Elephas maximus indicus: one gene and its partners. Each later gene encodes a partner of the first gene's protein in a complex. Links are inferred from orthologs where the notes say so. Each region holds a gene or a part of one and is shown in the gene's direction. Other genes may lie near its edges.

The links.
Region 2: METTL14 (region 1) and RBM15 share a complex: the UniProt entries of both Homo sapiens proteins name them as parts of the WMM complex. The link is inferred for Elephas maximus indicus from reciprocal best matches to the Homo sapiens genes METTL14 and RBM15.
Region 3: METTL14 (region 1) and WTAP share a complex: the UniProt entries of both Homo sapiens proteins name them as parts of the WMM complex. The link is inferred for Elephas maximus indicus from reciprocal best matches to the Homo sapiens genes METTL14 and WTAP.
Region 4: METTL14 (region 1) and RBM15B share a complex: the UniProt entries of both Homo sapiens proteins name them as parts of the WMM complex. The link is inferred for Elephas maximus indicus from reciprocal best matches to the Homo sapiens genes METTL14 and RBM15B.

Annotation. Positions count from the first base shown.
Region 1 is NC_064823.1:30,926,375-30,933,517, reverse strand, and holds the start of METTL14 (N6-adenosine-methyltransferase non-catalytic subunit), read left to right. Parts: upstream 1-4,133; 5' UTR 4,134-4,301; coding exon 4,302-4,367; intron 4,368-7,143. UniProt on the Homo sapiens protein: The METTL3-METTL14 heterodimer forms a N6-methyltransferase complex that methylates adenosine residues at the N(6) position of some mRNAs and regulates the circadian clock, differentiation of embryonic stem cells and cortical neurogenesis.
Region 2 is NC_064821.1:170,959,539-170,967,168, reverse strand, and holds the start of RBM15 (RNA-binding protein 15), read left to right. Parts: upstream 1-4,618; 5' UTR 4,619-5,637; coding exon 5,638-7,630. UniProt on the Homo sapiens protein: RNA-binding protein that acts as a key regulator of N6-methyladenosine (m6A) methylation of RNAs, thereby regulating different processes, such as hematopoietic cell homeostasis, alternative splicing of mRNAs and X chromosome inactivation mediated by Xist RNA.
Region 3 is NC_064819.1:232,092,483-232,100,502, forward strand, and holds the start of WTAP (pre-mRNA-splicing regulator WTAP), read left to right. Parts: upstream 1-5,019; 5' UTR 5,020-5,050; intron 5,051-5,169; exon of another isoform or gene 5,170-5,269; intron 5,270-5,358; exon of another isoform or gene 5,359-8,020. UniProt on the Homo sapiens protein: Associated component of the WMM complex, a complex that mediates N6-methyladenosine (m6A) methylation of RNAs, a modification that plays a role in the efficiency of mRNA splicing and RNA processing.
Region 4 is NC_064838.1:55,572,218-55,579,331, forward strand, and holds the start of RBM15B (putative RNA-binding protein 15B), read left to right. Parts: upstream 1-4,113; 5' UTR 4,114-6,446; coding exon 6,447-7,114. Other genes in the region: MANF (mesencephalic astrocyte-derived neurotrophic factor), read left to right, coding at 527-611, 1,235-1,362, 2,152-2,293, 3,594-3,778. UniProt on the Homo sapiens protein: RNA-binding protein that acts as a key regulator of N6-methyladenosine (m6A) methylation of RNAs, thereby regulating different processes, such as alternative splicing of mRNAs and X chromosome inactivation mediated by Xist RNA.

The DNA of each region.
Region 1 (7,143 bases):
TAGTACACATTTACATCTTTATCAGCCCAGGGTCCAGTCAGGAAAACAGAAGTCATTTAAAGTATTTGAAACAGACAACATTTACTATGGAGAATTGGTTACACAGGTGTTGAAGGCTAGACAGTTCCTGGGTGGTACAAATGGTTAATGGACTCACTGCTAACTGAAAGGTTGGTGGTTCAAGTCCATCCAGAGGCTTTAGAAGAAAGGCATTGCAATCTACTTCTGAAAAAACAGCCATACTAATCCCTGTGGAGCACAGCTCTCCTCTAACACACATGAGGTTGTCCTGAGTCAGAATCATTCCACTGCAACTGGTTTGGTTTGTTTTTGAAGGCTAAAAAAACAAAAAGGGGAAGGTGAGATTAAACCATACATTTTTGACTGCAAGAAGTGGCTACTAGTGCTAAAACTGGTGAAACAGAGGGAAGGGGTGATATTATCAGAGCCCAAGAGCACACTCACTACTGGGGGTATAAAAAACCCCAAAACAAAACCAAAGGTTACCATTGAGTTGATTCAGGAAAGACAGGACAGCCAAGGAGGAGAAGTAGCAACTGGTTCTGCAACTCTGTAAGAAGTGACAGCCACTTCCAGGGATGCCAGAAGCAGGAAAAGAAGTGAAGAACAATAGCTTCTCCCCACCTTCCATCTTCTTATCTCCATCTGTGCTTCCTCTTGGCAGAATTTTATTGGAAGTCATCTGACAAAGAAGTCTGAAAAATGTAGTTTGTAGATTCCTAGCCCACCATCATCAGAAAGCAGAATTTGACTTACTTGGTCTTCAGTCTTTGACTCTAATACCTATCAAAGTACCTGCCATGTAAAATGTCAATAAACATCAAATAAGTATTTTAGTGAAAATTCCTATTCCCATCATTGATAAATAGCTGAAATCAGTACCCAACTTAAATGACTGGCATGCAAAGTAGTACAATGGAATTTTAAAGAAACATACTTTAAGTCATAGATACAAATTTAAAAAAAAATCCAAACCCACCACCGCTGAGGGGATTCCTACTCATTATGACCCTATAGGACAGAGCAGAACTGTTCCATACAGTTTCCAAGGTTGTAAATTTTTACCAAAGCAGACTGCCGCATCTTTCTCTTGCAGAGCAGTGAGTGCTTAACCACTGCACCACCAGGGCTCCTACACACATATTATCTTTTATAGAATAGTTCCCATTACTCAAGGAATTTTTAGAGCTCCGCTTTTGAAATTTCCTTTTAAAGCTAATTTTTTAAAAAACACATGAAATGCGTGATAAATTACTAGAATCTAATATTGCCCACTTTGGGCCTAGCCTGACTCACCTGGTTTTGATCTGGAAGATTTATCATTATTTGAAAAAACTAAATCCACTCTCAAAGAATAAACTTTGTTATTTATTTTGGCAAGTACTTGCCACAAGTTCCAATTAAACTTGAGGCAACAGGATGCCTAAACCACCTTGGCCACTTGAGTTTGGAACAAAATGACAAACGTGGTGAATAACAATGTTAAAGTTTTTAGTAAGACTTTGGTCTTTGCTGCCTTCCTAAGAGAGAAGAATCACCTCCCCTCCCCACCAGGGTATTTATTTCCATATCCCAGGGTTATTTTCTGCTAAGATAAATGCAAGGCAGAAAAAGGGGTCTTATCTAGGACACAAACCAAGGCACACTGTACAATCGCCAACCCCTCTTTTCTAAAGGGAAGAATCCATAAAGTGCATTATGGTAACAACAGGCAATATCTCAAGAGCTAGTGAAACTTGCCCTCGAACGTCGAGCAGCTAAAGCAAAAGGAAGAATTGATGAAGTAAAAGAATGAACAGAAGATTTCAAAGGGCGGCTCGAGAAGACAAAGTGTTATACTGACATGTGCAAAGAGCTGGAGATGGAAAACCAAAAGGGAAGAACACGCTCGGCGTTTCTCAAGTTGAAAGAACTGAAATAAAAATTCAAGCCTCGAGTTGCAATAGTGAAGGATTCTGTGGGGAAAATATTAAACAACGCAGGGAGCATCAACAGAAGATGGAAGGAATACACAGAGTCATTATACCAAAAAGAATTAGTCGATGTTCAACCATTTCAAGAGGTGGTATATGATCAGGAACCGAAGGTACTGAAGGAAGAAGTCCAAGCTGCTCTGAAGGCATTGGCAAAAAACAAGGCTCCAGGAATTGAAGGAATATCAATTGAGATGTTTCAACAAATAGATGCAGTGCTGGAGGTGCTCACTCGTCTATGCCAAGAAATATGGAAGACAGCTTCCTGGCCAACTGACTGGAAGAGATCCAAATTTATGCCTATTCCCAAGAAAGGTGATCCAACCGAATGTGGAAATTATAGAACAATATCATTAATATCCCATGCAAGCAAAATTTTGATAAAGATCATTCAAAAATGGCTACAGCAGTATATCGACAGGAAACTGCCAGAAATTCAGGCCGGTTTCAGAACAGGATGTGGAACCAGGGATATCATTGCTGATGTCAGATGGATCCTGGCTGAAAGCAGAGAATACCAGAAGATGTTTACCTGTGTTTTCTTGACTATGCAAAGGCATTAGACTGTGTGGATCATAACAAACTATGGATAACATTGCAAAGAATGGGAATTCCAGAACACTTAATTGTGCTCATGAGGAACCTTTACATAGATCAAGAGGCTGTTGTTTGTACAGAAGAAGGGGATACTGATTGGTTTACAGTCAGGAAAGGTGTGCATCAGGGTTGTATTCTTTCACCATACCTATTCAATCTGTATGCTGAGCAAATAATCCGAGAAGTCGGACTATATGAAGAACAGGGCATCAGGATAGGAGAAAGACTCATTAACAACCTGCGTTATGCAGCGGACACAACCTTGCTTGCTGAAAGTGAAGAGGACTTGAAGCACTTACTAATGAAGATCAAAGACCACAGCCTTCAGTTTGGATTGCACGTCAACATGAAGAAAACAAAAACCCTCACAACTGGAACAATGAACAACATCATAATAAACAGAGAAAAGACTGAAGTTGTCAAGGATTTCATTTTACTTGGATCCACAATCAACAGGCATGGAAGCAGCAGTCAAGGAATCAAAAGACGCATTGCATTGGGCAAATCTGCTGCAAAGGACCTCTTTAAACTGTTGAAAAGCAAAGATGTCACCTTGAAGACTAAGGTGCACCTGACCCAAGCCATGGTATTTTCAATCGCATCATATGCATGTGAAAGCTGTACAATGAATAAAGAAGACCGAAGAAGAATTCACACCTTCGAATTGTGGTGTTGGCGAAGAATATTGAATATACCGTGGACTCCCAAAAGAATGAACAAATCTGTCTTGGAAGAAGTGTGGCCAGAATGCTCCTCAGAGGCAAGGAGGGCGAGACTGCCTCTTACATACTTCGGACATGTTGTCAGGAGGGATCAGTCCCTGGAGAAGCACATCATGCTTCGCAGAGTACAGGGTCAGCGGAAAAGGGGAAGACCCTCAACGAGGTGGATTGACACAGTGGCTGCAACAATGAGCTCGAGCATAACAACAATTGTCAGGATGGCACAGGACTGGGCAGTGTTTCGTTCCGTTGCGCATAAGGTCGCTATGAGTCGGAACCGACTCGACGGCACCTAACAACAGTGAGGTGTGCAGAGCACTGACAGAAGGGAAAAGTAAAAAACAACAACCTTAATAATAATAAACACTTCTATAGCGCTCTGCGCCTCCTTACTATTTATACAAACTGTTCATTATTTCAGTCTTCACAACGACTCCATGAGGCTGGCACTCTTATTTACTCCCATTTTACAAACGAAAAAAACAGATTTACGGAGGTGACTAACCAGCCAAGGTCACCCAGCTAGTAATAGGAAAAGGTTCAAGGCAATATGGCCGGAGTCTGCTCTCTCAGTAAAAAAGCAGATACTACATGTAACAAGTTTTAAAAGTAACTGGGGAACTAACGGAAAAGAGAAGCAACAAAAGAGCTCACATCGGAAGAGGCGTGGATATATCAAGAGAGACACCAGAGACGGGACCTGACATCGCTGCTCACAGCGCCTATCAGGCTTCCGAGACCCCTCCCCCAGTGCCCCGTCCCTCATTGGGCCCCTTCCAAGTAGCGTCAAATTGTAGGCGGGACTTCCGGGTACAACGGAGCCAATTCCGGCCGAGCCGGAAAGCCCTTTGAAGAAAAGGCTAGGGGTTACCCGCCCGCCTGAAGTCCCTGGCGAATTTTGTGTTCCATAGACTTGGAAGAAAGATTGGGCGGGGGTTAATCTACGCATTGGCAAGTTTTCAGGGTAGTGGAAAACAGGAGTTGGGATATGGACAGCCGCTTGCAGGAGATCCGGGAGCGGCAGAAGCTACGGCGACAGCTCCTCGCGCAGCAGGTCCGCGCCCGGGGTGGCCAATGCGGGGAGGGTTCGCGAATGCGCGTGCGCGGCCGCCCTCTCCCCCTCCCCTGCCCTTCGTCCTGTCAGCGCTCACCTTGTCCGATCATTCCTGATCCGGAGACCCTGACCCTTGGATCTCCCCTTGTTCTCTCAACCCCTGCTGTGCCCCGAATTTTTTTCCCATTCCAGCCGCTGTGTGTGTAGTAATGTTAAACTAGACGCCACGATTGATCTTCAGCAACATCTATCGAATGCCTTCCAAGCTTCTGGCACTGTGCTTGATAGTGGGGATATAAAGCTTTGGTTTTTGTAAATAAGTTATCACAGTTGATGCAATGAAAAGTGACTTATTCCTTAAATATCGCTTTGCTAATTTTTTTTAAGTGCTCTTCTTTGTCTTGTTTTTTTCTCGGAATCAACACCTAAATCCTGAGATTGTGGCTTCATTGTGAAATGGGTGTATTTTGGGACGGGGGTATCTACTTTAAAGACTACATTGAAAGGAGCCTAAGTGTAAACATTAGATTCTACATTTTGTGTATTGCAGGCCACTGAGCAACGTATACTAGCGTCATCATCACCCATAAAAAAATAGTATTTAAATTTTTACTCTCTGTCAGTCAAAACAGCCCAATGAAATAGGTAGTATTATTCTCTTCACTTATCAGAGAACAGAACAGAGGCTCCAGAGGTCAAGTAATTTTGCCCCGACTCACTCATAGCTGGGCCAAGAATTTGAAACCAGGTTTGTCTCTCCAAAGCTTACCTTCTAAACCACTCTCCTTCACTGCTTCTTGTGTGTGAGTACATTAGTACATAAGACCATACTAATCTTGCTGATGAGTAGAGTATACCAAAAACCAAACCTTTTGCTATCGAGTCGATTACGACTCATAATGACCCTGCAGAAAATACAGATGGTGCTACCTTTATGTAAAATCAGAGGGTTTGTTTTCCATTCTGCTGTTCAGATTAGTAAAAGTGATGGGTAAAATGAGGTGTCTTGCTGTTATTTTTCAATAGTAAATTTTGGTTTTAGCTACAAGAAGTCTGAAACCTGTCTTTTAAAAGCTGATGAAAAGACATATGATATGGTATTTAACATGTTATTTGGAATCAGATCTAGTCCTGTCCTGTACCATCCTGAACAAATGAGGCATCCTTTCTAAGCCTTCTTTTTCCCTACTTTTTTAATCATAATTGTCTGCAAAATGTTCAGTAGATCTTTGTTGCCACCAGTAGTTTTTACTCCTCAGTTTTGAATTCAAATCTCTAGAAGATTTGGCTCAAAATACATTCATAGAACAATTTGTTAGTGCTTTAACTATGTTCCAGGAGCTCTAGTAGGCCTTCGCAATTCAACTATGAATAATAGTCCCTACCCACAAAGAACTTACATAGTACTACAGTTTTATAATGGCAGCTGTATTAAATCCCCTCCAGCTATGTGTCAGACTCTCTGCTAAGCTGTGTACTTATATGTCTTCAATCCTACAAGTCAGATGTTATCTGAATTTTATAGATGAAGAAAATAGAGCCCCCCCCCCCCAAAAAAAATTGTTACTTGCCCAAGGCCCCAAAGCTGGTAAATGTGAGAGCTGGGATTTTAATTTAGGCCTTGCCAGGCTCTTTCCAGTACACCTAGCTGCCTCCACTATAATCAGTGACAAACTTCCACTTTACCAACAAATTGCAGAGCGTCTTTTGCCTAGTTTTCTCTGTATGAACAAGATAGATTGCTTTTATTATTCTCCAGAACTTGATTTGTGCACTATATGCTTTTTTATGCTTTAGTATTATTATTTTTAAAGTCTTTTTCTTACCTGCCTTCTGAATTCTATCCATCCTCCATGGCCCAGTTAGGTTAGAATTTGGTGTTGGAACCTATTCTGATCTCCCTGGCTTAGGCTCTTCTTCCTTTGAGCTTTCATTGTACCTCACTGTCGAGTCCACTACTACATATTGTGTGAATTGTCCTGTTTTTGTTGTTAGTTGTCATTGAGTTGATTCCGACTCATGGTGACTTCATGTATGCAGAGTAGAACTCCATAGGGTTTTCAAGGTTGTGACCTTTTGGAAGCAGATCGCCAAGCCTGTCTTATGAGGTGCCTCTAGGTGGGTTCTAAACACCAACCTTTTGGTTAGTAGTCGAGCACTTAACCGTTTGCACTTGTGGATTGTCACATAGACTATAATAGTTTGAGTACAAAGTCTGTATGTAACTCCTGTTGAGTAACCTCTTCCCACCCAGGATTGTTTCTTTCACAAAGCAAGATTTTAATAAACATTTGTTGAGTGATGAAATATCAGACTAGAGCACAACATGTGTATGATTTGCTTGATTCACTTTTGTCTGCTTAGTGAAGCCTTTAGAGGCAAAAAGTAGGCCTGGACCATGATAATAACAACTGATGCTACCACCACCAATTTGTGCCTTTTGTTTATTTAACTTCAAACAGCATACGTGGTCCTGAGAAGTAACTCTGTTTCCAAAAATTAAATATGCCTTAGGAAGTTATCAAATTGTTAGAATTCCTCAGATAAATCTATTCAGTGCCACCAACATAATGGAAAATCTGTTATTGACTTGGTTAAGTGATACAGCTGCTAACCAAAAGGTTGGCAGTTCACATCCACCAGGCGCTCCTTGGAAACCCTATGGGGCAGTTCTGCTCTGTCCTGTAGGGTTGCTATGGGTCGAATTCAACTCAACGGCAGTGGGATTTTTTTTATTAACTTGATGTGGGCACTCTACAATTTTTTTTTTTAAATG
Region 2 (7,630 bases), on another chromosome or scaffold:
CTTAACTACCATACGATCCAGCAATCCCAATCCATGGAATATACCCTAAATAAGAGCCTTTACATGACCAGATATATGCACACCCATATTTACTGCAGCACTGTTTACAATAGCAAAAAGATGGAAGCAACCAAGGTGCCCATCAACGGATGAATGGGTAAATAACTTATGGTATATTCACACAATGGACTACTACACATCGATAAAGAACAGTGGTGAATCTGTGAAACATTTCATAACGTGGAGGAACCTGGAAGGCATTATGCTAAGTGAAATTAGTCAGTTGCAAAAGGACAAATATTGTATAAGACCACTATTGTAAGTATTTGAGAAATAGTTCAAACTGAGAAGAAAACATTCTTTTGTGGTTACGAGAGGAGGGTGGGAGGGTGGGAGGGTGGGAGAGGGTATTCACTAATTAGTTGGTAGATAAGAACTACTTTAGGTGAAGTGAAAAACAATGCACAATACAGGGGGAGGTCAGCACAGCTGGACTAAACCAAAAGCAGTTTCCTGAATAAACTGAATGCTTCGAAGGCCAGTGTAGCAGGGGCAGGGGTTTGGGGACCATGATTTCAGGGGACATCTAAGTCAACTGGCATAGTAAAATCTATTAAGAAAACATTCTGCATCCCACTTTAGAGAGTGGCATCTGGGGTCTTATCTCTTAGCAAGCAGCCATCTAAGATGCATCAATTGGTCTCAACCCACCCGGATCAAAGGAGAATGAAGAACACCAAGCACACAAGGTAATTATGAGTCCAAGAGACAGAAAGGGCCACATGAACCAGAGACTACATCATCCTGAGACCAGAAGAGCTAGATGGTGCCTGGCTACAACCGATGACTGCTCTGACAGGAAACACAACAGAGAACCCTTGAGGGAGCAGGAGAGCAGTGGAATGCAGACCCCAAATTCTCATAATCCAGGCTTAATGGTCTAACTGAGACTGGAAGGACCCTGGTGCTCATGGCCCCCAGGCCTTCTGTTGGTCCAGGACAGGAACCATTCCCTAAGCCAACTCTTCAAACATGGATTGGACTGGACAATGGGTTGGAAAGGGATGCTGGTGAGGAGTGAGCTTCTTGAATCAGGTGGACACTTGAGACTATGTTGGCATCTCCTGCCTGGAGGGGAGATGAGAGGGTAGAGGGGGTCAGAAGTTGGCGAAATGGACATGAAAAGAAAGAGTGGAGGGAGAGAGCTGGCTGCCTTATTAGGGGGAGAGTAATTGGGAGTAAGTAGCAAGCCGTCTGTAAGTTTTTATGTGAGAGGCTGACTTAATTTGTAAACTTTCACTTCCCAGACCCAGTGCCATCGAGTGACCCTATAGGACAGAGTAGAACTTTCACTTAGAGCACAATAAAAATCATAAAAAAAAAAAAATACACAAAGAAGTGACTTGATAATGCAAACTGGGTTCTAAATGATTGTTTGCTGATTTAAGGATTTAATATATGCCTGTGGGTAAAAAAAATATACTTTCTTGTACACCAAATAAAATAAACCTCGCTGTCAGGAGACCACTCACTTTATGAAAGGAGATGAAACAGAAAAATTTAATCTACTATTGTGGGTGGAAAATTTTCTTTTTCAATTCCCAGATCCAGTCCTTTTTGTATTTGCCAGGAAATCAAAGGGCTCTCAGCTTCCAAGATAAATTTCATATAGCAATCATAATTGTGTGTGTATTGAAGATAAAAAATAAAAATAAAAAAAACTAGGAAGGAGGGGAATGGAAAGAAGGATAATTGATTGAAAGCATTCTGCTATTTTTTAACTGCACAGTAGTCTTCCATGTTTATGCCTTTTATTTTGCTTTTTCCTTTTAAAGCTGAAACTGATTTTAAAGGAGATGGAAAAAGTACTTCACATAGAAAGCTAATGGTAGCTGCTCTCCTGCCTGGCTGTGTTCTCTAGGCCTTGTACAGCTCCAAGGGGCCACCCTGACACCAAAATGGGCTGTGAGCTTTTCTTGAACATTATTTCTTGAGTTTTGGCAGGGCACTGAAAGGAGAGATCAACATGCTACTGTGGTGCTCTGGGAATTTTTTGGTAGTTTAACTCTGTCTTCATGACTACTGAAAGAACTTCCTCACCCAGGTTAGCTCTCCTCACAAACCTGGCCGCTGATCACAAGGAGACCAGATGAAAACTTGGACTGGACTTCAACAACTCCATCACCAACACCAGAAAAAGAGTTCCAAGCCTGGCGCTGAAACCATGGGTCGCTTTTATCCTTTCTCGGCCCTCCCTAAAGCACATGTATAAACACAGGTTGATAAAATGTCACCAAGCAGCTTCATGCTTTAAGGAACACAAGGGAAATGAAAACAAAGTAAATCACTCACTTTAACTACAGCACACATCCAACATATTCAGTTCTATCATGGACACGAACACACATCACAGACTATTTTGGCGCTGTTACTGGTAATGAAATTTAGACATTTTCTAACCATTAAATTTACCAGTCCTCTTGGCTTCAGGCAACGTATCAGTCCTCTTAGGCAAGGCTTCCTGCCCCTGCCAGCTCCTTCGTATTTCAAGCCACCAACTTGGCAGAGTGACAGGCATTGCCACATATCCTGGTACCTGTTCAGCAAGGCAGTATTCCTTGATTTCTCTCCCTCATTCCTGTAGAGGAAACTATACTGATTTGGTCCTTATCTTTTTCTTTGACCAGTGAGTCAACTAAGCAGGTCAGTTTTGACCAAAAGTAGTCACTCTGGAGCCTGGTTTCACTGGACTGGTTATTGCATTGAGTAATCAGATAATGGCTTGTTTCCTTTGTGTTGTATTAATACAACCTTGAAACAGATTAAAACCTCTTAACCATGTAAATCTTTTTCTTTGAGCATTTTGTGCTTTTATAAACACTGCTTTTTATTCTTTTAATCCACTAGCATTGAGATTTTTATCTCTAAATACCATTTTCCCCAAAAAGGAACCAGAACTCTTTGGAGAAATGGCTGATTCTATGTCTGGGGCAGGAAATACAGCGAGTAAGCCCGGAACAAAATAATGGGAGAGGAGGAAGCTGGGAAGAAGGCACAGAAGAAACAAGTGTGACGTGATTTGACAATTATTGAAATTGGGTGTTAAGTTCATGTGGTTCTTTATAGTATTCTACCTTTGCATATTTTTTACTTTTTCCATAAAAATAATTTTTTAAGGGAAAGCTAGAAAGAATTGCTATTTTTTAAACTGAAAGAGCATGAAAAATAATAGATAAGAGTCTACAATGAAAAGGGAAATTTCTCTCCCATCCCAGACCTGCAGTCAGTCTCTCTCCTCAGGGGAATCCTGGTAATATTCCGTGTATTTGTCAAGGAATTTTCTATGAATGAATGTGCAATGTGCGTGCGTTTTTAAACCATAAATGGTAGCATACTATACAGTTTTATACCTTATGAAATTTTTAGTAGCTAGTTTTAATATGAAGATATCTACACACTATTTTACTGGGTATTTTTATGCTTTACATATCCACTTAAACATGGGCTTCAAGTCTCTTTGATATAATCAAGACATTAAATCAAATATTTATAACACACATATAATATTAAAAATATAATCTTCACTTTCCTCAAGATTATTTGGAAAGAGGAGACCTAAGGTAGAGCAAAATATGCTGCAGTCCCTAATCTTAAATTTTCAGCTTCAGGTTTTGATTTTCGTAACATCATAGTTACCTTAAAAATGTCATGTTTAAACAGATTGATTGGATCTTGAGATGTGGCTGAAGAGGGCATCTACACTGGAATCCTCATAACCTCTGCCTGGCGGAGACCTGGGAGGACTACAGAAAGCCTAACCTCTGTGAACTCAGCACTACCTCGCTTCACCAGACGGTGAGCGCAGGAACAGAGGCTGTACCTGTTGTAATCTTGTTGGCACACCAGCATCTTGCACAGGTGCCTTATTGTCTGACACAATTTAAGTCCACTGCCATCGAGTGGATGCTGACTCATAGTGACCCTATAGAACAGAGAGTTCCCAAAGCTGTAAGCTTTACAGAAGCAGATAGCCCTATCTTTCTCCCAGGAGCGGAGGCTGGGTTCCAACCGCCGACCTTTCGGTTATCAGCCCAGCGCTTAACCATCGTGCTGCGAGGGCTCCTCTGACACAATAAAGGTCTATGGAAAGGATAAAAGTTGACTTTTGATGCAGACAATGTTTGAGAGAGGCAGAGAGATTTAGAGAACCAGCAAGGTGGCTGTGCTACTGGATTATAATATCGAATAACCAGGAGTGCCGGGCGGTACGAGAAGTCACAGAAAAAAAAACACGGTGCGTCAATTTCACTCGATTATTTTACGGGGAGAGTCACATAAAAACAAACATAATCTGCACGGAGCGTCAATTTCACTCGATGGTTTTACGGGGAGAGTCATAAAAACAAGATTAGCTATACACGCACTATAGAGTACAAAATCCACATGGGTTTGCAATATAAAACAGGAAGCCTAAAGACACGTCTGCGGTGGCCCCACAGTTCCGGCCACGCCTGCGGACCGTGGGCCTGGGAGCGTCGGTCACTTCCCCCGGTTACCCGGGGTACTTGGGCAGACACGAGGAGCGCCAAGAAGAGCCCGGCGTTGCTCCATAAGTGCGGGACCTCGAGAACCCGCGCCGATCAGAAGACCGTCCGGGGCCGACCCGGCACTTTTGTGAACTGTAAACTCCCGGGCCGGGCGGGCCCCGGGGACCCCAGTGACCGCGGGCGGCGCCTTCTCGCGCACAGGGGGGAGGAGCCTTTTCAGGCTCTTCACGTAGGGCCAGAGGGACTTAAGATGGTGCCTGCCGGGCGCCTCGAGATGGTTTCCTGAGGCACGCGTGGTACCCGACAGCCGGAGGGCCTGCCCAGTCCCTCGTCTGGCACAGGTAGGACAGTGGGGAGCCCAGAAGTTTCGAGTTCCAAGGGCCGCAGTGCCGCCAAGTACGCCTCGGCACCGAACAGATGTTTGAGGGGAGAACGCCGAAAGCACGAGGAGGCGGGGCGGGCTCGTGGTCACCATCTCGCGATATCTAAGTGACGTCTCCCAGCAAGCGCGGGTTCTAGGCTTTCACCTTCAGTCAGCCGCCTCAGTATATGGGCCTACCCCTTTAAGAGGGTGACGGACAGTTATTTCAGCCTATCAACTTCCTCGACAACATCCAATCAGATTTAAACTTCTGTCAGCCGCCGAAGGAGTTGGAAGAAGAGGGTCGAAACAGGGAGCTCTCTCGCGAGATCGTTGTGAGCCTACCTCTCAGAGGAAAAATCGCCCGAACCGATGGCCGTATTCCCAACTAGTGGGTTAAAGGACAGGATCATAAACCAATGAAAGGGATGAGGAGGTGGGATCGCTGCTTTCGCCGCTCAAGAAGTACCGTTACAAGGCAGACTTTTTGTCCAATCAACGCCGCCAGACTTTGGGTCAGGTGACCGTAGGGTGCGAGGGGCGGAGCTACAGCCTGGCGCGAGGAACCGTTAAGATAGACAAGGAATACAACCAATGAGGTACTCTGACTAGGGCGTTGGGAGCCCAATAACAGTGGTTGGGCGGGCGCCTTCCCGGAGCGCCGGGAGATGTAAAGACAGACAAATAGTCTTTCCAATGAGACTGTAGAAGAGAGGATCTAATTGACCAATGAAGACTGCGGGGCGGGAGCCTTTGCCGCGGCGGAGTCCAAGATGGCGGCGTGCGGTTCCGCTGTGTGAAACGAGCGCGGGGCGGCGGGTTAATCAGCTCCGCGGAGAAGACCTCCGACGACCCGCAACAATGAAGGGAAAAGAGCGCTCGCCAGTCAAGGCCAAACGCTCCCGTGGTGGTGAGGACTCGACTTCCCGTGGGGAGCGCGGCAAGAAGTTAGGTGGCTCTGGTGGTAGCAATGGGAGCAGCAGCGGAAAGACCGAGAGCGGCGGTGGGTCGCGGCGGAGCCTTCACCTGGACAAGTCCAGCAGTCGAGGTGGCAGCCGCGAGTATGACACTGGTGGGGGCACCTCCAGTAGCCGCCTGCATAGTTATAGCTCCCCAAGCACCAAAAATTCCTCGGGCGGGGGCGAGTCGCGAAGCAGCTCCCGGGGTGGAGGCGGGGAGTCACGTTCCTCAGGGGCCGCCTCCTCAGCTCCTGGCGGCGGAGACGGCGGGGAATACAAGACACTAAAGATAAGCGAGTTGGGGTCCCAGCTGAGTGACGAAGCGGTGGAGGACGGACTGTTTCACGAATTCAAACGCTTCGGTGATGTGAGTGTCAAAATCAGTCACCTCTCGGGTTCTGGCAGCGGGGATGAGCGGGTAGCCTTTGTGAACTTCCGGCGGCCGGAGGACGCGCGGGCGGCCAAGCATGCCAGAGGCCGCCTTGTGCTCTATGACCGGCCTCTGAAGATAGAGGCTGTGTATGTGAGCCGGCGCCGCAGCCGCTCCCCTTTAGACAAAGATTCTTATCCTCCATCGGCCAGCGTGGTCGGGTCCTCTGTAGGTGGTCACCGGCACCCCCCTGGAGGAGGTGGAGGCCAAAGGTCACTTTCTCCTGGTGGCGCTGCCTTGGGATACAGAGACTACCGGTTGCAGCAGTTGGCTCTTGGCCGTCTGCCCCCTCCACCTCCGCCACCGTTGCCCCGAGAGTTGGAGAGAGACCGAGATTATCCGTTCTATGAGCGAGTGCGCCCAGCATATAGTCTTGAGCCAAGGGTGGGAGCTGGAACCGGGGCTGCCCCTTTCAGAGAAGTGGATGAGATTTCACCTGAGGATGATCAGCGAGCTAACCGGACGCTTTTCTTGGGCAACCTAGACATCACTGTGACAGAGAGTGACTTAAGAAGGGCTTTTGATCGCTTTGGAGTCATCACAGAAGTAGACATCAAACGCCCTTCTCGTGGTCAAACCAGTACCTATGGTTTTCTCAAATTTGAGAATCTGGACATGTCTCACAGAGCCAAACTAGCAATGTCTGGCAAAATTATAATTCGGAATCCTATCAAAATTGGTTATGGTAAAGCTACACCCACTACCCGCCTCTGGGTAGGTGGCCTGGGACCTTGGGTGCCTCTTGCTGCCCTGGCACGAGAGTTTGACCGATTTGGCACCATACGCACCATAGACTACCGCAAAGGGGACAGCTGGGCATATATCCAGTATGAAAGCCTAGATGCAGCTCATGCTGCTTGGACTCATATGCGGGGCTTCCCCCTTGGTGGCCCAGATCGTCGCCTTAGAGTAGACTTTGCAGACACAGAGCATCGTTACCAGCAGCAGTATCTGCAGCCCCTGCCTCTGACTCATTATGAATTGGTGACAGATGCTTTTGGACATCGGGCGCCTGACCCTTTGAGGGGTGCTCGGGATAGGACACCACCCTTACTATACAGAGATCGTGATAGGGACCTTTATCCAGACCCTGATTGGGTCCCACCTCCACCCCCAGTCCGAGAACGCAGCACACGGACTGCAGCTGCTGCTGTACCTGCTTATGAGCCACTGGATAGCCTGGATCGGAGGCGGGATGGCTGGTCCTTGGATCGAGACAGAGGTGAGAGAGATCTTCCCAGCAGCAGAGAGCAGCCTAGGAAGCGAAGGCTGCCTGAAGAGAGTGGGGGACGCCATCTGGATAGGTCCCCTGAGAGTGACCGTCCACGAAAAC
Region 3 (8,020 bases), on another chromosome or scaffold:
CTGCTGACCTTTCAGTTAGCAGCCGAGCACTTAACAACTGCACCACCAGGGCTCCTGTCCTACTATTGTTGCTGTGTGCTGTCTAGCCAATTCCTACTCACAGTGACACTATAGGACGGAGAAAAACTGCCCCATAGGGTTTCCTAGGCTGAAATCTTTTTTTTTTTTTTTTACTTGTACTTTAGATAACAGAACAAGCTAGCTTCTCATTAAATAATTAGTACACATATCGTTTTGTGACATTAGTTACCAACCCCACGACATGTCAACACTCTCCTCTTCTCGACCTTGGGTCCCCTATTACCAGCTTTCCTGTCCCCTCCTGCCTTCTAGTCCTTGCCCCGGGGCTGGTGTGCCCCTTTAGTCTTGTTTTGTTTTATGGGCCTGCCTAATCTTTGGCTGAAGGGTGAACCTCAGAAGTGACTTCATTACTGAGCTTAAAGAGTGCCCGTGGGCCCTACTCTCGGGGTTTCTCCAGTCTCTCTCAGACCAGTTAAGTCTGGTCTTTTTTTTGAGTTAGAATTTTGTTCTACATTTTTCTCCAGCACTGTCCAAGACCCTCTACGGTGACCCCTGTCAGAGCAGTCAGTGGTGGTAGCCGGGCACCATTAGGTCGTGCTGGGCTCAGTCTGGTGGAGGCTGTGGTAGTTGTGGTCCATTAATCCTTTGGACAAATCTTTCCCTGTGTCTTTGGTTTTCTTCATTCTCCCTTGCTCCGAGACCAGTGGAGTATCTTAGCCGGCCACTCGCAAGTTTTTAAGACCCCAGACGCTCCTCACCAAAGTAGAATGTAGAACATTTTCCTTGTAAATTATGCTATGCCAATTGAGCATTGTTCCCCGAGACCACGGTCCCCACAACCTCAGCCCAGTCATTCGGTCCCTCAGGGAGTTTGGATCTATCTATGGAGCTTCCATGACCTTTAGGCTGAAATCTTTATGGGAGTATTTTGCCAGGTCTTTTCTCCTGCGGAGTAGCTGGTGGGTTTGAACTGCAGACATTTTGGTTAGCAGCTGAGTGCTTAACTCAGGACTTTCAACCGGTTCGTTCTGGTTCACCTCCCTCCTGGGAATTTGCATTTCTAACAAGTTTCCAGGCAGTGGCAGTGCTGCTGGTTAGGGACCAATTCTGAGCACCATACATGAGAATTTATCATACATGAGAATCACCTGGGGACCCTGTTAAACTAGATTGTGATTCAGTCTGTCTGGGGTGGAAATGCAAATTCTGAGCAGGGGTTCAAATCTGAAGGAAGCTGTTCAAAGCCCTGGCTTAACCATTGCACCACCAGAGTTCCTTCCTCCTATCACCCAGTGCCCAGTGCCCTCGACTTACACTAAATTTTATCACATGGTTCCGGTGATGGCCACTAGATGGCTCCACTATACAAGTGTACTTTCCTCTTTATAGTCAAAGGAGTAACCTGTGGGGCAATACTTGGGCGCAACTTGGATATTCTATTTCCCAGCCATTTTTCACCAAAATTTTGATCCATTGGTAATCCTTGCCTAAATCAAATATTTCATTGAGGGCTGCATAATGGTTATTTTCTAATTATATCATTTGTTCTACATTTATTAGCTGGCATCCTATTGTAAAGGGTTTTTTTTCTCATCCACTGGGGATGAACCTAGAGCTTTGAGCCAGTTCCTTCTGGTTCGAACTCCTGCTGAGAACTGCATTTTTAACAAGTTCCCAGATGATGCTAATACTACTGGTTAGAGACAAAAAAAAAAAAAAAACCCATTGCCGTTGAGTTGATTCCGACTCATAGCAACCCTACAGAACAGAGTAGAACTGCTCCATAGTTTCCAAGGAACGCCTAGTGGATTTGAACTGTTGAACCTTTTGGTTAGCAGCCGTAGTTCTTAACCACTACACAACCAGACTTTCCACTAGTAGAACAGTGACTCCCAAATTTTATCATATATAAGAATCACCTGGGGAGCTTGTTAAAGTGTAGATTGTGATTCAGCATATCTGGGGTGGCAAAGGAATTTGCAGCAGGTGTTCAAACCGGTTGAACTAGTTCAAAGCACTGCATGAACCACAGATCTCCAGGTGTTTTAGTTACCTAGTGCTGCTAAAAAATTCCGACTCATGGTGACCCTGTACTGCTGCTACAACAGAAATGTCACAAGTGGATGCCTTTAACAAACAAATTAATTTTCTCACAGTTTAGAAGGGTAGAAGTCTGAATTCAGAATGCTGGCTTTAGGGAGGCTTTCTCTCTCTGCCGGTGCTGGAGGAAGGTCCTGGTCTCTTCTGAGCTTCTGTTCCTAGGCAATCTTCATGTGGCTTGGCATCTCTCTCCCCCCATCTCTGCTGCTCACTTGCTTAATTTCTTTTATATCGCAAACGAGATTGACTCAAGGCACACCTGCCTGAAACAGTCTCAGTTTTAGCATGGAAAGTCCAGCCTCACAGGAAAATCTTTAGTCCTGGGCAAACAGGGACAGCTGGTCACCTGAGTACTTCTAGCCTCTTTCAGTGTACAGAACTAGAAATTTTATTTTTTTAATCATGTGTTCAAATTGATATTTCCAATTTAACATTACGGGACTTTTCTGAACTTTTGACATTGTATCTTTTTTTTCTTGTACTGAAAAAAACCCACCGCCCTGGAGTCAATTTGGACTCATAGTGACCCTATAGGACAGAGTAGAACTGTCCCATAGAGTTTCCAAGGAATGCCTGGCAGATTTAAAGTGCTGAGCTCTTGGTTAGCAGCCATAGTACTTAACCACTACACCACCAGGGTTTCCTCTTGTACTCAAAGTCTTTTTATATAACATTTTATGTTATCACACAACACACAGTTTCAAAGGCACAGTAACAAAATTACAACTACAAACCACTGAGTGAAGCTGAAGATTCCCTTTGCTGTTCTTTTTCACTCTTAGAATATATCCCAGCAAAGACATACTGTGGGAATGCTATGGTCAAAAGTCCTGGGGGGGGGGGGAATCCTTTTCTCTTTGTAACAGTTACCACCAATTTGAAGTTAGGTTCATTTGTTTCAACTAGCTTTCAATTTGGGGGTTTACTTTGTTTCCTGTTTTACTTTTTAACTATGTAAAAATGTTAGAAGTTCAAAGTCAAGAGATGTCTTGCCTCTATCTCTAATCCCTTTACTTCCTACCTCCCCCACCCTCTATAGATAACTTTTTGTTAGTTTCTAGGGTCTCTTTTCAATTTTTTTTTCCTGCAAAATAAAAATGTGTATGTGTGTGTACAAATGCCAGCCAGTTTCCTATTAATGGACACTCAGGTTATTTCCAAACTTTAGCTATGATAAATAGCACTGCGGTGAATGAAACCTAAACCAAACCTGTTGCCTGGGAGTGGATTTAGACTCATGGTGACCTGACACGTTACTGAGCAGAACTGCTCCATAGCATTTTCTTGCCTGTAATCTTAACGAAAATAGATTGCTAAGCCTTTCTTCTGCAGTACTGTTTGGTGGGTCTGAACCACTAACCTTCAGTAGTCCAGCACCAACAATTTGTTGTTTTTATTGGCGGAGATGTATCTTCAAAATAGTCCCTGGGTGTTGTAAAAGGTTAATGCACTCAGCTGCTAATAGAAAGGTTGGAAGTTTATGCCCACCCAGAGGCTCCTGGGGAAAAGGGTGTGGCGATTTAGTTCCGAAAAATCAGCCACTGAGAAAGAACCCTGTGGACCACAGTTCTACTCTGACACACATGGGGTCACCCTGAGTCACAGTGGAGACCACGGCAACTGGACTGGGATCTTCAGGATAACTTTAGGGTTAGAAGTGGAATTGCAATAAGGATAAATGTACATGTACTTCTGGTACTCCACAAAACATGAATCATTTTCCATTCCCAGTTTCTCCACAGACTTGTAACTTTAAGGCATGTGACTTCATGTGCATTTTTATACATGAGGCTGAGCATCCTTTCATGTTTAAAGACCATGGCTGTTCTTTTTCTATGAACTGCCTGTTCATGTCTTTACCCGTTTTTCATTCAGGACTTTGGTCTTTTTCTTTTGTTTTTAAGAGTTCCTGTAATGTAGTTTGAAAATATACTCTCCAGTCTGATCTGATCTGCTGGGAATATACCATGACTCCTTTAACTATCTAGGGTGTACTTTAAACTTAGCCTCATAAGACACTTCATTCCAGGACACCTTCTTCGGGGATCAAGAGTTTTGGTAGAGCCAGCTATGAGCACACCAATCAAAAGAACTGCCTGACCAGTCTTGTGTTTGACTATTTCAAATCTTCCAGGTAACCACCGTTCTAACTAAATAGGCCAGACGCTTAAGGAATATATTTACATTACAATACTTATTTCCTCGGATGCACTAAAACCTCACAGGGCTCGCCTTGCCCTCGTTTCTGAGCTAGCAAGCTGCCCCCAAAGCTGCTGACACCCGCAACAACCTCCGTCGGCTACAGAACAATAGCTCCTCGGCCTCTCCCCCAGGGATGTCAAGGCGGGGACGAACCAAACGGCCACGCGGCTGCATTACACGATGAGAGAAGGGCATCGGTCTCTTACGGCCTCAAAACAGAGCGTGAAGTTTAGCGGTGCCGATTTCCCTGCCGGCGCTCACACAGCTGTCCGCCGGTAGCCTCCCTCCTGAGCCCACACCTGGCCGCTAGCTCGCGGAAGCGTCCCCAAGCGGCGCTGACACCCAAGCCGCGCTGACACCCAAGCGGCCAATCACCGCGCCGCCGGCGCCAGATCCCTCCGCGGAGCTACGCCGCACCCGCAGGTGGCAGCGGTGAGCGCGTCCGCCGCCGCCGCCGCGACCCCCGCCGCCCTTCCCGTGATGCTCCGCGGCTGACCCCCAGCCCCCGCCGCGCCGGCTCCCTCCCCTCCCCGCCCGGACTCCGGCGGCCGCGGGACACCTGATAGAGCCGGACGGGCCGCGAGGGAGAGCTCTGCCGTCGGCGCCTCCAGGCCCAGACTCCGCCGGGGCCGCCGCTCCTCGCCCTTCCTCCCGCCGGCGGGGCGGCGCGGCGCGGCGGGCGGGCGGGCGGGCGGACGGTGCAGCGGCGCCCGGGAGGCAACCTGTGGTGAGCGGCGCGGGCGAACATGGCGGCGCGCGGCCGATGGGGCGGGGCGGGGCGGGCGGCGGGGGCGGGGGCCGGCCGCGCTTCCTCCCTCAGCGCCATTTTGTGGCAGCGAGACCCGCAAATAAAGGGGCGCGCGGGCTGCGGCGGCGGAGGAGCGGCGGGGCCCGGCCGCCGCGGTGCGAGCGCGGCCTCGGCCTGGGCGACGGGCCGCCTGCGGAGGTAGGTGCGGCCGCGGGCGCTGCCGCCGAGCCCGAGGTCGGGGCGCCGGCCTCTCCGCCGCCCGGCTGGGGAGCGGCGCGCAGGCCGGGCAGCTCGGGGCCCGGCCGCTGGACGCCGGCCTCCCTTGGCGCTGCCCACTTGGCGCCCCGAGGCCATTTCCCCGTCCTCGCCGGGGCCCGGGCGCGCGGTCGGCACGGAGCCGGGGCCGCCCTGGTCGGACCTCCCGCCTCCCTCGGCCATTTGTGCCGGGGGAGAACCAGCCTTGGCTCTTGCAGCGCGCATCACGCAGTAGGTCGTGGCTGCAGGGACAAGGTCCGGGAGGGTTCCATTTTTAATGATTGGCATGCATGCTGGGTAAGGAAACAGTTCTTTATTGAATTATTTCGAGATTTTAAGTCTCACCTTGGATTCCCGGAAGAATGTTACTAAAGGATCTTTTTACCATTTTTTATGAGTCAGTGGGGAACATATAGCAGAAAAGCTTAAGTTCTTGTTTTGGTGATAAAGGAAGTTAATTGGATGTTTGATCCCAAAGGAATTATGTTACAATCCGAATTTACCGTGATTATAAAATTAAAAAACGATTATTTCGCCCGAGGTAGAAAAATATTTTGACTAGCATGTTATAATCTCGAGATGTTTTAATACCTGTTTTATTGTTTTCCGTGCTTTAGAATTTAGTTAATTGCATTGCTGAGGAAGCCACTGGTCTATCACCCCCATTAAACTAGGTGCGAAAGTCTTTTTAGGATTGCTAAATTTCATTTATTTAATCGTGTTATTCACTAACATCTGATTAGGCAAGTTGGGGATAGAGATTGCAGCCCACAGCATGGCTTGCCGACAAAGTCGATGCTGAAATTTAAGGTTTGGGTAGGTGTGTTTCTAGAATGCTTTTGGATCTTGCCTTATCTTGAGCTGAAAGCTTAATGATTGGGATTTGCACACACACCTCAGTGGGGGGAGGGGAGCTTGAGTCCTTAAGGACGAAAGTACTAATGCTAGTGTGTCCCAGGCACTGCCGATTTTTACCTGGCTCATCTAATATTTTTTCATCTAATTTATAGAAATCCGTGGTATCTAGCTTTCCTAATTTTGAGTCATGTTTGCTCAAAATACTTCGGTGTTGTGTTGGTCAAAAATGAGTTGGTGTATATGTAGAAAACCTATGGTAATCTGATACTGAGATGAGTTGTAATAATTACATTTTTATAGCACATTACAGCTTTCAAAGTCCCTTACAGTCTTGCATGTATGTAGTATAGCATTTGTTTCAGAATATTGTTTACTTAGTAATCTTCACAATTTTTATAAGACCAAACCCAAACCCATTGCCATCAGGTCGATTTTGACTTGTCCAACTATGTATATTATTATCTTGGAGTCCTGGTGTCACAGTGGTTAAGAACTCAGCTGCTAACCAAAAGGTCGGCAGTTTGAATCCATCAGCCGCTCTTTGGAAACCCTGTGGGGCTGTTGTGCTCCACGCTGTAGGGGCGCTATGAGTGGAAATTGACGTGACAGCAGCAGGCTTGTTTTTGGTTTTTTATGGACCACCTTAAATTTTGTTTGTGGATTCTTTAGCAGAACAAAACCTACCTTTCTTAAATGGACGTTAAAGTTGCCTTTTATGTTTTTATTAGTATTTTTTTTTTTAGAAAAATCCCTTGTTTGCGTAGCATTTTTATGGCATTGCAAGTGTTGAGATTTGTAGCACTTTGTGTGGTAGGTAATATTTGTATCTTCGTTTTAGCTGATGTGGAAACCGTAGCCCAGAGAGGTAAGTGATTTGCTCCAGATCACATGGCTGATAGATACAAGAGTTAGTAAAAGATATCTTCCAGTTCCCAAGTGGTGTCCTTTCTACTACAGTGCCAAGCTCCTGCAGGACATTGGCTTTTTCTGTTCAGTTGTGATAAACTTCAGCCATCTACAGACTTCTTATTGAAGTTGCCTTGGCTGGTCTGCCTTTCTGTTGAGAGAGAAGAGCCAGGGAACTTTTGAGATCTGGGATGCGAGGCAGCCAGCCAACCAAAGCTGGACTCCCATCCTAAGCTGTTTCTTAGTGTTGAGGCATCAGGAGTAGATGGTGGTTCTGACATTCTACACTTGAGGTATATTATATCTGACTAAAATAACAAGCCTTTATGTAATTTTAAAACCATGTTTTAACGAATTATCTTCAGTTGCTCAAAGGTAGGTAAATTGGCTAGCTTTGATTTTTTTTCTGTTTTGCTTTTCTTTACCTCCATTTTCTCTACTTCAGCTAGCTAAATCTAATCATTATTGGGGATAGGCAGAGTGGGAGAGTTATCATCTTCATCGGTTACTTATTTTTTATCGTGGTAAACATATAGGTAACAAAACATTTGCCACTTCAACAGTCTTGGCATGTGCAGTTCAGCGACGTTAAATATGTCCGTTATGTTGTTCAGCCACCGCCATTAACCGCTCCATCAGTTACTAGGTCTTAAGAGGCAGAGTCCTAACCGCCGATTTATTAATGAATAGCTGTTTTAACCTGAGATAATCACCTAATAACTCAATCATTTTATCATCTGGAAAATGGAGGGTAACATTGATTTTGAAAAATTGTAATTGAGACTCATAAGCACTTCATTTTTCATTTCTATATTCTTCATTTTTTCCCTTCAAGATTGAACTCCAGATACCTGTTAGATTAATTTTATTTCATTTCAGTTATTCCATTTTTGTGATCTGAATTCTTTGTTAAAAAGTAAAGCTAGACAC
Region 4 (7,114 bases), on another chromosome or scaffold:
CGCTCACGTGCTTGTTTAAAAAAAAGGAACGAAGCCTATTGAGCCTTCCGTGAGTCTGGGCCCTGGGCGAGGAAATTCCCGAAGTTTTTAGGGCGAGGTTAGAGCCCAGGGCAGAGCCCAATTCAGCATGCACTGGGCGGCACAAAATCCCACTTCCGCCCGGAACGCCCGGTTGCCGGTAAGGCCACTGCCCCTGTCCAAAATGGCGGCTCATCCCACTTCCGCCGCCTCCGCCGCTGCTTCCTGCGGAAGACCCTGGTTCAATCAGCGGCGGACAACTGTCTTGGGCCTAGGGCGGGCGGCGCTGCCAACCAATGGGGAAGGGTAGCGTGGAGCCGACCGTCTGGGCTCCGAGGCCCTTGGGCCAATGGGAGCGCGGCGTGTGGGAGGGCGCGATGGCCACCCACCAATGGGGAGCCGCGGCGCGCGGCCGGGACCTGGAGGCGGTGCAGCGCAGCGCAGCGCAGCGCAGCGGGCGCGGTTAGTCGGGCAGCGGCGGCGGCAGTGGTGGCAACGAAGGCGGAGGATGTGGGCCACGCACGGGCTGGCGGTGGCGCTGGCTCTGAGCGTGCTGCCGGGCAGCGGGGCGCTGCGGCCCGGAGACTGCGAAGGTGCGGCGGGGTCGAGTCCGCGCGGCGTGTCCAGCCTAGCGGCGGCCCCGACACCAACAAGACCATTGAAGGGGCGGGGGCGGCCGATCCCTGCGAGGTCCACCCGAGGAGGGGCAGACACTCCCGGGCCTACAGAACATTGATTGGTCCGACGGCCAAAAGTTGGGACTAGATAGCCCTGAAAACTTGGCTTGAAATTCCAATAACGCTGGAGTTCTTGTCCTTCCCATCACTGGTCAGATGCTCTCGGGAGCGGCTACTCCCGAGTCGGGGCCCCGTGAGTTGGGGTCAGGAAGCTGCACTACGGGGTTCGGTGTTGTATTTGGAAATAAGATGCATCAAGATCGTTTTTCTTCTTGGCCTCCAGCCTGTCCGTTTATGAGGTCATAGATCGTTTGTGGGTCATTGGGATGGTGATCGTACCCCACATGCCCCAGGTGGATCAGGGAACCCCAGCAACTTCGAGCCGGACTCTGTCCACCTGAGAAAACTCGGTGATAGAAACACGAACCTCTAGTGATTCATCTCCGTGCCTCCCATTAGAATTGCTGACAGTTACTTGTTGGTGGATGGGGGTGCCCTTGGTGGTTGCTGAGCATCTCCCTTCCCTTTTTTTTTTCCAGTTTGCATTTCTTATCTGGGAAGATTTTACCAGGATCTGAAAAACAAAGATGTTGCATTTTCACCAGCCACTATTGAAAAAGAACTTATCAGTTTCTGCCGTGAAGCAAGAGGGAAAGAAAACCGATTGGTGAGTAGCTGGTGACCCTCCCAAGCTGGTCCTGGCCCCTGTTTAACCCTTGGCTTCACAGGCCTCTTGAGAAGGCCCCACCCACCTGTGTGCTAGGAGAGCTGTCTGTCAGAACACAGAACCCAAGCACTTTCTGAAGTGTATTCTGCCGTTGAGATATCTTCTCCTCTTAGTATTTACTGAGCACCCACTATGTGCTGGTCACTGAGATTACTGGGGGAGAGATGACAGTTGGACAGACAAACAATGACTGGGCTGGATGCCATGAAGAGAATGGACCCAGGTGGTACAGTGGAGGGGGTGGTACTGATTTAAACAGAGTGGTCAAGAAGTAGCTCTCTGAGGAAGGCTCATCATTGAAGTTGGGGAAGAGCATCTCAGGCAGAGGGAACAGTCATTGCCAGTGCCCAGAGGCCAGAATGGGCTTACCATGTGTGAGGATGGAAGGAGAAGGTAATGAGGTGTAAACAGGGTCAGCCAGGCCCAAACTGAGAGCAAGGGCCCCTAGTGAAGCAGTGGCTTTTGTAGCTTTATTTACTTATTTATTTTTGGGTAGCATGTGGTTTGTCTGTTAAAAAGTTTGAACCCTGGTGACTTTTAAGCTCATCCGGTGGCCATCAGGTCTGGGACCAAACAGGTGTTAAGAGTCTGGAGTTTATACTGGCTTGCATCTGAGTGCCAGTGCAGGCAGGCACCAGGAAATGAGGCCCTGGCAGAGAAGGAAAATGTTCTGGAGGAGATGGCTCTCATGTGACATCTCCTGAAGGCTGTTGTCCTTTCTTGCTGCAGTGTTACTACATAGGGGCAACGGATGATGCAGCCACCAAGATCATCAATGAGGTGTCTAAGCCCCTAGCCCACCACATCCCTGTGGAGAAGATCTGTGAGAAGCTCAAGAAGAAAGACAGCCAGATCTGCGAGCTGAAGTATGGTGAGTGCTTTCCCGGCCTTATTTAACAAACACTGCACAGCTTCTGCAGCCAGGTCTCGTTGAGTTACTTTGTAGTTGAGGGGGCACATCATAAACTAGAGCCATGGTGAGTGGGTTATACGGTATGGTAAACATGTAAACCAGCTGCCATCGAGTTGACCCGACTCATGGCAATCTCATGTGTGTCAGAGTAGAACTGCGTTCTAGGGTTTTCAGTGGCTTGTTTTTCAGAAGTAGATCACCAGGCCTTTCTTCCAGTGCACCTCTAGGTAGACTCAAACCTTCAGCCTTTCAGTTAGCAGCCGAGCGTGTTAACCGTTTGTACCACCATAAAAAAAAACATAGATGGTGCTAAATGCTGGGGGAGGGAGGTGATCTGTTCATCACAGCAGGATGTCAGTGAGGAGGTGACATTTCGGCAAAGCTCTGAAGGAGGTGTGGGATTAGCATGAGGCTAGTTAGCGGATCAAAGTGGGGTGACAGATGAGTGAGCAGGTCTGAAAGGATTTGGGCTTCAAGTCTGAGTGAAGTAGGGACCATTAGAGATTTTTGATCAGAGAAGGAACATGAGCTGAAGACCCATTGTTCTTGTCCACACAGGCATGGCAAGCCCAAGAGTGGGGGAACCACAGCATCTCTTGTTGAGTCAGTCTGGTTGCACAAACATAGCCAGGCCTGTGTTTGAGTATGAAAGAGTCAGAGCCAAGGATAGTTGTCCTCTTCTGTGACGGCGCCAACATATTTTATTATGACTTGAACGTCCATGGGTCTGTGTTTACCTGCTTGTGTCAGGGATGCCTGGTCCTGAGAGTCATCCTGGTAGAGGTCCATCTGGGTCGTGGACACAGCAGTCATGGAGAATAGCTCCTGCCTCAAGGGCCTAACCAGACTGATGTTGGGAAATCAGGGCTAGGAGAGCTACCTGCTCCATCATAGCTTGGTACTGCCATTCTGCAGAGACTTGATCTCTCCTGTGACTGTGAGAGGCACTTGGGGTGGGAGCCGTGCTCCTCCTGTAAGGACCGTGTAGCCTCCATCCCTGTCCCTGGCAACACTGCGTGTCTGGTGGACGCTGCGACATGAGGCCAGCCTTCCTGATGAAGGGGCCTGAGCCTCTTCTCTCAGGGGCAGTGGGCACTGACACACCTGTATGTGTCTGGGAATCTCTCTCCCCCTACAAACCAGGAGGGCCGCATGTTCTAAGGGATAGGTTGGCCTTGCAGGAATGACCTGACCTGGGACTACTGTGGGGTAGTGGCCACTCTCACCAGCCGGTCACTCTCCCTGCTCTCTCCTCCAGACAAGCAGATCGACCTGAGCACAGCGGACCTGAAGAAGCTCCGAGTTAAAGAGCTGAAAAAGATCCTGGACGACTGGGGGGAGACGTGCAAAGGCTGTGCAGAAAAGTCCGACTATATCCGGAAGATTAACGAACTAATGCCTAAATACGCCCCCAAGGCAGCCAGTTCACGGACTGATTTGTAGTCTGCCTGACCCCTGCTGCACTGGAGGGGAGAAAAAAACAGTTCCTCTGTCTCTTCCCAAGCAGCCTTTTTGTAATTTATTTTTTAATCGGGCTCCTGACAATGTCAGGTATGAAGCCTGGAGCTTTCCTGATGATGCTGGCTCGACAGCACCCCTGTGGGGGGATTCACTTCATTCTGTTGCTGGTTTACTCTAGGACTTGAAAGTGTGTCTGGGATTTTTTTATTAAAGGAAAAAAATTTCTAGTTCTTGGAGAATTAACGCGAATATTGAAGTAGGGCTTCACTCCATAATGAGGACCTCGCCAGCAGATGCTTTCCAGTTTGCCAAAAATTTTCTAATATATTCCCACCTGTTCCTCAACCACTAACCAGTGTTGGAAGCACCAAGGCAGGACATGGGCTGAGGCCAGCTGACATGTGTTGGGTCTTGAAGGACTGGAGGGTAGCAGGCCCCCTCCCAGCTAAATGGAGCCTGGGGAGGAGGCTGGGCTTGGCACCCCACCTCCCAGTGTTTTACCCAATGAGAGGGGCTGGAGGCTGCACAGCTGTTGCTGGGAGGGTGCGGGAGTGGGGAGGGGAGAAATGAGTGTGATGAACATAGGAGGGGGTTTGCATTGGGTTCAGTATGAGCAGGCTGGAGGGTACTTGGAGTTTGGTTTTCTCTGATGGTGACTTCGAACGCCGTCTATTCAGTACTGACATTCCTAAAGGTACTCTTGGGCTGGCCACGAACGTGCTTGTCCGGGTCTGTGGTCTGGTGCCAGTTCCAAGCCTCTGATGCCTAACTGGGATTTTGCAAGACCTGCGGAGATTGATTTGAACAGAGGCAGTGGGCAGCTGCCTTTTGCCTTGTTTAACAGTTGAGATTCTGAGGACTTGCCCTCATGGTGTCCCCTGGAGTATGGTTTTTTAGCTGCTGTCTGTGTGGGGTTGGCACTTAGGAAACCCAGCTGCCAGCATGAGCTTGGCTCAGTGGAGGCACCTCTGCTGCTGTAGAGAATGCCTGAAGAGAGAATAAGAAGCAGTGCTTTCCAAGAAATGAGGTCTTTGGTGTCTAAGTTCAGTTTGCTTGAAGGGTGCTTCTTACTGCTTGGCAGTACACCTCCCACATTTTGTAGCTCTGCAATGGCACATGTGAGAGGAAGGGAAAGTTAAGGCACTTCTCAGGGCCCAGATCCCCCTGTTTGGGGGAATTACATGGGCTGTTGAGGTCTGACTAGCACAGTAAGTGTCCCCAGCCCCCCAGAGGTGCTGGGAAAGTGTGGCTGTAGCTGGTGGACTTGTCTTAGGCCACCACCCCAGATCTGATGTGTGCCTGCAGCCTCCGTGTCCTCCAGGCCACACTGAATATGGGAACAGAAAACGGAGCCTCACAGGCCCCAGGGTTATTTGTGGAGAATGTTGGTGTCGCTCTTTTTGGAAGCAGGTATTAAGAGACTATGCACCACTAAAGGTGTCCTGCTCCTACCCCCATCCCCTACTTTCCCCATCAGCCACTCCAGAGGCTGCTTTCTGGTTGGGAAAGAGGGAAAGCCTGAAGTGCAAGTTTCCTCATACCACAGTTTCTGTGGCTGAGGCTGCGTCAGGTTCAGCGATAGCTCCAGCAACAATTCCTGGAGAATGAAAGCTTTCCCAATGGGCTTGGGCACAAGGGAAGGAAAAGAGGCTCTGCCCTACAAGGTGGACAGGAGGGCACGGGCCAGGTGAAGTCAGGACAGAAGGCTCTGCCAAGTGCTGGAACTCCCTGCAGGTTTGGCGAGGCTCCTGTTTTTAGGCTCAGGGTAGCCTTGCCTTTTTAGCTCTTTGTCTGCCGGGAGGCCCAAAGCAAAGGGTGGGGCCCAGTGACGCCAAAGAGTTTATTTCGATCAGTGAAACGAAGGTTTGTGGGTCTGTGGTTTCTATGCCTGAACTCAAGACCGGCCTTGCCTCCTGCAGCCACAGCCATGGGCCACATGACCATTCCTGAAAGCGCTGCAGGTGAACCTGAGTGCGCAGGATGTAGGCTGTGGGCTCCTTCTGGGTAAGGGTATGCGTCAGCCCTCGGGCTGTCAACCTGGACACCTGGGTGGGCAGAAGTCACCGTGACGGGGATTAGGGGCGGCCTTTTTTTCAAGCCTAGTCCCGGAATTCGGGACCACCACGTAAAGAGTCTGCTAGGTCAAGGCCCCGGAATCCAGCACCCACGGAGGCTGCCACTCATGCTCCAATCAGCGCCGGCGACAGGAGACCAGACCCGGCGCGACATGTGAGGCCGACGTCCGGCCGGATTCTCTGGGACTCAAGGCGGAGCGAGTCAGCCCGACTGTCTCCACGGCTCTGATCGCTCTAGGTAGCCCCAGTCTCGGCCGCGTGGTGGCGCCAGAGCGCGCTCCTGGACCCCGCTTACCCACTGGCCGCGGGGGTCACGTGGTACAGACGACGTCGCCTGATGACGCACGCCCGGCGCGGCTTCCTCCCCGCCCGCCATGAGGTCACGTGACGCTGCCGGCGCGGCCTGATAACGCAACGTCCAGCCCCTCGGTGCCTCTCCCGCCCCGCCCCGCCGCCACCGCCGCAGCGAGTCCTTTTGTCCAAGATGGCGGCGCCGGGGGCGCTTCCTCCTCAGCCTCCGCCGCCGCCGCTGTGAAGGGGCTGCGGGCCGCCCGCCCGCCTGCAGCGCCAGCGCCATGAAGCGGCAGAGCGAGCGAGACTCGAGCCCGAGCGGGCGCGGCTCGTCATCGTCGGCCAAGCGACCGCGGGAGCGCGAGCGGGAAGCGGAGGCGGGCGGGCGGCGGGCGGCGCACAAGGCCTCGGGCGGCGCCAAGCACCCCGTTCCGGCGCGGGCCCGCGACAAGCCCCGCGGCAGCGGCGGCGGAGGGGGCGGACATCGCGACGGCCGCGGCGCGGGGGACGTGAATCACCGTGCGAGCAGCGGCCGCTCCTCCAGCTCGGGCGCCGGCGGCGGGGGGCGCGGCGGCAAGGCCTCCGGGGACCCGGGAGCCTCGGGCGCGTCACCCCGCGCGTCCCCGCTGCCACCGCCTCCGCCACCGCCTGGAGCGGAGCCTGCGGGCCCCGGCTCGTCGGCGGCCGCGCCCGAGTACAAGACGCTACTCATCAGCAGCCTGAGTCCCGCGCTGCCCGCCGAGCACCTCGAGGACCGGCTCTTCCATCAGTTCAAGCGCTTCGGCGAGATCAGCCTGCGCCTGTCGCACACGCCCGAGCTGGGCCGTGTGGCTTACGTGAACTTCCGGCACCCACAGGACGCCCGCGAGGCCCGCCAGCACGCCCTGGCCCGCCAGTTGCTGCTCTACGACCGCCCGCTCAAGGTGGAGCCCGTGTACCTTCGCGGCGGCGG